Stegostoma tigrinum: one gene and its partner. Each later gene encodes a partner of the first gene's protein in a complex. Links are inferred from orthologs where the notes say so. Each region holds a gene or a part of one and is shown on either strand. Other genes may lie near its edges.

Evidence for each region.
Region 2: the proteins of malt1 (region 1) and bcl10 are in contact, whole or in part, in a cryo-EM structure (PDB 6GK2), measured with the Homo sapiens proteins. The link is inferred for Stegostoma tigrinum from reciprocal best matches to the Homo sapiens genes MALT1 and BCL10. Residues at the interface, in NP_006776.1 of Homo sapiens: Asp46, Gln47, Ala48, Pro49, Trp54, Arg55, Leu74, Glu75, Ser78, Leu79, Val81, Leu82, Glu83, Pro84, Glu85, Gly86, Pro88; in NP_003912.1 of Homo sapiens: Leu13, Lys17, Val83, Arg87, Asn93, Gln97, Thr100, Leu104, Arg107, Asn108, Leu111.

What each region holds. Positions count from the first base shown.
Region 1 is NC_081354.1:151,657,744-151,661,659, reverse strand, and holds the start of malt1 (mucosa-associated lymphoid tissue lymphoma translocation protein 1), read left to right. Parts: upstream 1-1,331; 5' UTR 1,332-1,759; coding exon 1,760-1,911; intron 1,912-3,916. UniProt on the Homo sapiens protein: Protease that enhances BCL10-induced activation: acts via formation of CBM complexes that channel adaptive and innate immune signaling downstream of CARD domain-containing proteins (CARD9, CARD11 and CARD14) to activate NF-kappa-B and MAP kinase p38 pathways which stimulate expression of genes encoding pro-inflammatory cytokines and chemokines.
Region 2 is NC_081361.1:99,959,882-99,963,797, forward strand, and holds the start of bcl10 (B-cell lymphoma/leukemia 10), read right to left. Parts: upstream 2,594-3,916; 5' UTR 2,330-2,593; coding exon 2,279-2,329; intron 1-2,278. UniProt on the Homo sapiens protein: Plays a key role in both adaptive and innate immune signaling by bridging CARD domain-containing proteins to immune activation.

The DNA of each region.
Region 1 (3,916 bases):
AAGCACATCAAATGCCTTTTTCACCACCCAGTCTACCTGTGATTCCACCTTTGAGGAATTTTGTTTTCATGTGTCCTCGTGTTGATCTCTGTTTCTTCAAGAATCTGAACATCCGTTTTTGTTTCTTGAGTAACTTTCCAAGAAGTTTCTCTTTTGAGCTGGAAGTGCACTAGACACTGAAATGCTTACGTGTTTGGTATTGAAGAGGAAAATTTCATTTGTTTGTTTTTCCTCCTTTGCAGGAAGACTATTTAAACATCAATGTGATTCCTTGGAGGTGACATTAGCTTTGATCTAAGATCTGTTGGCTAAGACAAGTCCTTTTATATATAAGGACTTCCCGGCTCCTCTAAAAAGCAACGCAATCCTCTCCATCTCCTTGGACCTAATTTCTGTTTCTATATTTGTTGTGTTGTCATTTTGCTTTGCCTGGTGCCTTTGTCACAACTTAATCATTCTCACTCTCATCACGGGCTGTTCCTTTTCAATTCTGCACTGATGTGGTTTACAGGGATGTTGTCAGGATGGCAGGTTTGAGCTTTAGGCCAAAGCTAAATAGGCTGGGGCTTTTGACCCTGGACCATTGGAGGCTGAGGGGTGACCTTATAGAGGTTTATCAAATCAAGAGGATAGAATGAATAGTCAAGGCCATTTCCCCAGGATAGGGGAGTCCAGAACTAGAGGGCATAGGTTTAAGGTGAGAGGGGAAAGATTTAAAAAGCGCCTAAGGGACAACCTTTTCAGCAGACGGTGGTCAGTATATGGAATGAGCTGACAGAGGAAGTGGTGGAGGCTAGTACAAATACAACATTTAAAAGGCATATGGATGGGTATATAAATAGGAAAGGTTAAAAGGGATATGGGCCAAATGCTGGCAAATGGGACTCGATTAATTTACCATATCTGGTTAGCATGGACGCGTTAGACCGAAAGGTCTGCTTCTATGCTGTACAACTCTATAACTTTACGTCCGTGACTCGAGAGGCTGTTATCACACACCATCCAGATTGAGGAATACATATATTGCGGTGCCACCATTCTCGCTGGGTCAAAGCATTGGAACTCATTCCCTAACCGTAGTCTAGGTGTTACTTATACACCCCATGGACTATAAGGTTTTATTTCCGTGACTGCCCGTCGCCTTCTCAAGCAACCTTGGTTACAATGGAACTGCCTGGGTGACTGAAGGAGCCGAATCAATGTAAGTTCTGTTGGAAGACCGTTTCTTTTTCCGAGTCAGTTTCGCACGATGAACCACACTTCCCAGAGGCCTTTGCACATTTTTGGGTGTAGGTGCCTTTACTTCCTGCTTCAGTAGTTTATCGCCAAAGTAGCAGGAAGTGTTGTAGACGATTGGAATAAAGTGCATTCACTGGAGGGTTTCACTGTGTTTCTTTCTGTGTGTACCGCCACGTTATCCCAGACAGAACGGGGACAATTTTTAGAGATGGGGGCACTCCTGCTTTATAACGGAGAGTCTGACTTTTGACGTGCAACAGTGTGACCACAATCCCTTCAAATTTCTTTTGAAACCAGAAGTTTGAAATCTCAACGTTTCACTTTTAAAGGAAAAAAAAATGTCTGTTTAGAAAGGCGTTGGATTGAGGTCATCTTTAGACGGTTGAGCGGGGTCGTGTTTTTGTTGGCTGGATTCTGCCCGGGGAGTGGGTGAACGGAGAGAGGAGCAGACGGCTGTCACCCAGGCTCTGGTATTGTTCAATGACAGCAGTAGCACCACTGGGAAACAGGACTCGCTGCAATGGCAGAGTCCACGCAGGTCACGCCGATAAACATCAACAGCCTGAAGGAACACACGCTGAAGAAAATAAGCGATCTGCTGGACAAGACCAACAACCGGGGATGGAGGAAACTGGCGGAGATTGTGGGAGCTGACAAGCGTTTCAGACTCACGTAAGTATATGTACAAGAGTACGTGTGTATCGCTCCCCGTTCTCCAGACCAACGTCCCGCCCCAAACATAAGTAAATCGTTCACTTTTGGCGGCGTTAAATTGAGTTCTCATTGTCACATTTTCTTTATCATTCTGAAGTTGGTCGAATCCGTTATTCAGTCTTACAGGATAATCAACTGTGGTGTGCATCACAACCAAATCATACACTGACTTGTCGAGTGCAGTTTCCTGTCAATGTTTTACAGGAGCCAGAAGCCTGATTGTTTTCACCTTTCTCCATAGTCTGGAAGCTACTTGTAGATTTTCAAAATATTAGAGATGTTATTTATACAGTCCAAAGACGTGCAGTTTGGCCATGCTAAATTGTCCATAATGTCCAGGGATGTGCAGATGAGATGCGTTAGCCATGGGAAATGCGGCGTTACAGGGATAGGTTAGGGATTCGGGTCGGCGTGGGATGCTCTTCCTAGGGTCGGTGTGGACTTGTTGGGCCGAATGGCCTGTTTCCACTCTGTAAGAATTCTATGGATACCTCTGGAGCAGGCAAAACTTGAACCCAGGCCTCCTACATCAGAGGTAGGGACAAAACAACTATGTCACGGGAGGCATTTACCACTGCTTTATTTTGGTAAACTGCCTACTTTTGGGTCTTAAGCTGTATCTGTGACCATTCTTGAAGATTCTCAAAGCCTGAAACTGAGTTTTTAAACTTTCAGATTCGATAAAGTAGCATTCACCCTAAAAGAGACAAAATGTACCCTCTTTATTGGGAAAAGAGAAACTATTCAGGAATAACTTTCTCACCTTGTTTCAGAGTTTTCAAGGTGATGATGTTTGTTTGCCCATCAGATGATTAATTGGGGGCAGGAAGAGCCCAGCAGATACTAGGTTTGTAAACTGGGATCCTCATGGGGAAATAATGCACTATGAGATGTCGCCATTGGATGAGATGTGAAAGTGAAATCCTTCTGCTCCCTTGGAGGATGTAAAGTATCCTGTGTCACTATCTTGAAGAATAGATGAGTCACCTCTGGTATCCTGGCCAATATTTATCCCTAAATGTAACAAAAATTGATTACCAAATCTTTATCAGCATGCTGTTTGTGGGAGCTTGCTGTTCACGTAGCAGTTGATGTGATTTTCAGATTGTTTGACATTTTCCAATCCCATAGAAACAACTTGTATCAAAATTAATGTTTAAAAAAAGGAAAGAACTATGAGTCCTGGAGATCTGAAACAAACAAAAACTGAAATTTCTGGAGAAATACAGCATTGTCTTGCAGCATCTGTGGGGAGAAAGCAGATTTAATGTTTCAATACTGTTCTGAAGAAGGGTCACTGGACTCAAAACATTAGCTTTCTGTTCTCTCCACAGATAGTGCCAGATCTGCTGAGTTTCTCTTGGAATTTCTGCTTTTATTTCTTTGTAAAAATTTAGATTTTGACTTTTCAGATCTTTATGACATGGTAATGTAGACATGAGCTGTAAATCGTTGGAATCTGGATATAGAAGCACTTGAGTATCTTGCCTCTTATTGTGGGTTAAGTTCTAATGCCCAGAGAACTAATAATATCAGGTAAAATTTGTGAATAATTAAAAAAAATGACAAATCAATAAGAGACAGGATGGTTTTCCAAAGAGATTTAGATAATTGGTACAATGAGGGCCATTTGGTCTGGGTTTTGCATCAAGGTTTTGTGATCTTGAAGTCATTGACTGCAATGGTGTTTGGAGTAAACTGAACACGAATAACTTTCAAAAAGGAATTGGATAATTATTTTAAGAAGGAAAAACAAATTAACAGCTCTGGGGAAAGGATAGGGGGATATGGACCAATTGAATTACTCTTTCAAAGAACCAGTACAGGTACGATGGACTGAAGGGCTTATTCTCTGCTGTATCATTCCATGAGGACCAGCTGTGCTTGTTTAAGTTAACTGATTGCTGTAAGGCAATAATAAATCATAAAATGGATGTCATAGTTGCTGTCTGTATGAGCTTTC
Region 2 (3,916 bases), on another chromosome or scaffold:
ACATACGAAGAAAATGTTTCTCCAAGGTCAGCATTAGAAGAAGAGAATAAAAATTAAACACAACACAGTTAAAAATGTCAAATTTTCTATTTGCAAATGGCATGCATAATTTTAAAATACATTCTCGATTTTAAAGTTCTCTTCTCGATTATCATCTTGCAGGGAGGGGTCTTTCACAGCCAGTGTTAACTCCAATTTCTGCATACAGTGTCAATGTGCCTCTAACCCACAGACACCCAGGCTAGTTTAATTCAAGAGCTAAAAGATCTGACGCTGCTGAACATCATGTGACACTTCCAAAAAAAACTGTTTCCAAGAAACATTACTGCAAAATAAAATAAAGCTGAAACCCCAGTGCAGAAGGAACTTAGTGTCAGCAATTAGACCTTTCGTAACATTGATCAGAGAAAGGTGACACTGAGTTCAGTCACATTGTGGAGTCTCTCTCAGCCCAAAAGCTACACCCTTGCATTGTCCATGTATCAGATACCTCCCAGTTCTCAGCTGGGCCTTTCCCCACTGCCCAGGTGTACCTGTGCCGAGGTGAGCCAATCCACGCTGCTCTAGTTGCACCAGCATTAGTGCCCAGGTGTACATATCCAGGTGTACCCGCTCCCCAGTTACACCGCCCTCAGTGCCCAGGTGTACCTGCTCCCCAGTTACACCGACCTCAGTGCCCAGGTGTACCTGCTCCCCAGTTACACCGACCTCAGTGCCCAGGTGTACCCGCTCCCCAGTTACACCGACCTCAGTGCCCAGGTGTACCCGCTCCCCAGTTACACCGACCTCAGTGCCCAGGTGTACCTGCTCCCCAGTTACACCGACCTCAGTGCCCAGGTGTACCCGCTCCCCAGTTACACCGACTTCAGTGCCCAGGCGTACCTGCGCCCCAGTTACACCGACTTCAGTGCCCAGGCGTACCCGCTCCCCAGTTACACCAACCTCAGTGCCCAGGTGTACCCATGCCCCAGTTACACCAACCTCAGTGCCCAGGTGTACCTGCTCCCCAGTTACACCGACCTCAGTGCCCAGGTGTACCCGCTCCCCAGTTACACCGACCTCAGTGCCCAGGTGTACCCGCTCCCCAGTTACACCGACCTCAGTGCCCAGGCGTACCTGCGCCCCAGTTACACCGACTTCAGTGCCCAGGTGTACCCGCTCCCCAGTTACACCAACCTCAGTGCCCAGGTGTACCCATGCCCCAGTTACACCGACCTCAGTGCCCAGGTGTACCTGCTCCCCAGTTACACCGACCTCAGTGCCCAGGTGTACCCGCTCCCCAGTTACACCGACCTCAGTGCCCAGGTGTACCCGCGCCCCAGTTACACCGACCTCAGTGCCCAGGTGTACCCGCTCCCCAGTTACACCGACCTCAGTGCCCAGGTGTACCTGCTCCCCAGTTACACCAACCTCAGTGCCCAGGTGTACCCATGCCCCAGTTACACCAACCTCAGTGCCCAGGTGTACCTGCTCCCCAGTTACACCGACCTCAGTGCCCAGGTGTACCCGCTCCCCAGTTACACCGACCTCAGTGCCCAGGTGTACCCGCTCCCCAGTTACACCGACCTCAGTGCCCAGGTGTACCCGCTCCCCAGTTACACCGACCTCAGTGCCCAGGTGTACCCGCTCCCCAGTTACACCTACCTCAGTGTCCAGGTGTACCTGCTCCCCAGTTACACCAACCTCAGTGCCCAGGTGTACCCGCTCCCCAGTTACACCGACCTCAGTGCCCAGGTGTACCCGCTCCCCAGTTACACCGACTTCAGTGCCCAGGCGTACCTGCGCCCCAGTTACACCGACTTCAGTGCCCAGGTGTACCCGCTCCCCAGTTACACCAACCTCAGTGCCCAGGTGTACCCATGCCCCAGTTACACCGACCTCAGTGCCCAGGTGTACCCGCTCCCCAGTTACACCGGTCTCAGTGCCCAGGTGTACCCATGCCCCAGTTACACCAACCTCAGTGCCCAGGTGTACCTGCTCCCCAGTTACACCAACCTCAGTGCCCAGGTGTACCCGCGCCCTAGTTACACCGGCCTCAGTGCCCAGGTGTACCCGTGCCCCAGTTACACCGGCCTCAGTGCCCAGGTGTACCCACACTGCAGTGTCCAAGGTACAGCTTCCATCCTGGGCAGAGCAGCTCGGTGCCCCAGTGTGCCCACTAGCCTCAGACCTACTCACTTGTCCTGCCCTGTAAGGGGGCAGGTGAGCACCAGAGACTGGGGCAAAAGAAAACCCGTTCCCCTTTCACATTTCGCTCAAACAGCGGCAACAAACTTACTTCCTTTTTTATTTCAGCCATTTCGTCCTCGGTGAGCTGCGCAGCCTCCATGGGTGTGGGTGCCAGGAGGGGAGCCCTGCAGTTTCTCTGTGCCCGGGTGTGAGGGGGGTGGGGGCTTCCCCTGGGTAGTGCCAATGCCGGGGATCACGGAGCCGGGCCGGAGTTACGTGCAGCAACTTTTACATGTTTGCATTGTTGGACTGTACACTTTCTTCCTGGTTTTCCTTCTGAGCAGACACACACTCTCTGAAGGTTGTAAAGTCTAACCAATTACAACTTCCGTCCCTCCGCTAACACTGACGTAAAGCACGTTTAGCGAAACTCTGACTGAGAGGAATTAGCTATTATGCGGAAGTTCACTGTACCTTCACATTATGGCTGGATAACCCAGCCCCAGCTTTTACTGCAACGTCTCTTTTCGCCCAAAACACTCTCATTGGCTGAAAAAAAATTCCCTTTTCTGCCCTGTTGTAAAATTGGACCTTTAAGTGATTGCGATTAAGAACAGTTGCATTAAAAAGTTTCATATGTGGATATTCAGCCCATCTAATCATCCCTGGGCAAGTCTGCTGGCATTTTACTACCTCTCCTCCAGTGGTCCCCAGCATTACAGAAACCCGTCTTCGATTCACTCCATGTGGTATCAAGAAACGGTTGGAGACACTGGATGCTGCAAAGGCTACAGGCCCTGACAACATTCCGGCAATAATACTGAAGACTTGTGCTCCAGAACTTGCCGCTCCCCTGGCCAAGCTGTCCCTGAACAGCTACAACACGGGTATCTACCTGACAGTGTGGAAACTTGCTCAAGTATGTCCTGTACACAAAAAGCAGGACAAATCCAACCCGGCCAATTACTACCCCATCAGTCTCCTCTCGACCATCAGTAAAGTGATGGAAGGTGTCAGTAACAGAGCTACCAAGCAGCACCTACTCAGTAATAACCTGCACAGTGACACTCAGTTTGGGTTCTGCCAGGGCCACTCAGCTCCTGACCCCATTACAGCCTTGGCTCAAACATGGATAAAAGAGCTGAATCCCAGAGGTGAGGTGAGAGTGACAGCCCCTGACATCAAGGCTGCATTTGACCAAGTGTGGCATCAAGGAGCCCTGGCAAAACTGCAATCAGTGGGTATCAGGGGGCAAACTCTCCGGTGGTTGGGGTCACACCTGACGCAATGTTCAGCACCATTCATGATTCATCAGATACTGAAACAGTCCATGTCCAAACGCAATGAGATCTGGACAATATCCAGACTTGTGTTGACAAGTGGCAAGTGACATTTGCATCATACAAATGCCAGACTAACTCATCACTAATAAGAGACAATCTAACCACTGCCCCTTGACATTCAAGGGTGTTACCCTCACAGAATCCCCCACTATCAGCATCCTGGGTGTAATCATAGACCAGAAGCTCCACAGGACTCACCACATAAACACAGTGGCTACAAGAGCAGGTCAGACGCTAGAAATCTAGCAACAAATAACACAAATCTTGACTCCCCAAAGCCTGCCCACCATCTGCAAGGTGTAAGTCAGGAGTGTGATGGAATACTCCCCACTTGCCTGGATGGGTGCAGCCTCAACAACACTCAAGAAGCTTCACACTATTCAAGACGAACCACATCCACAAGC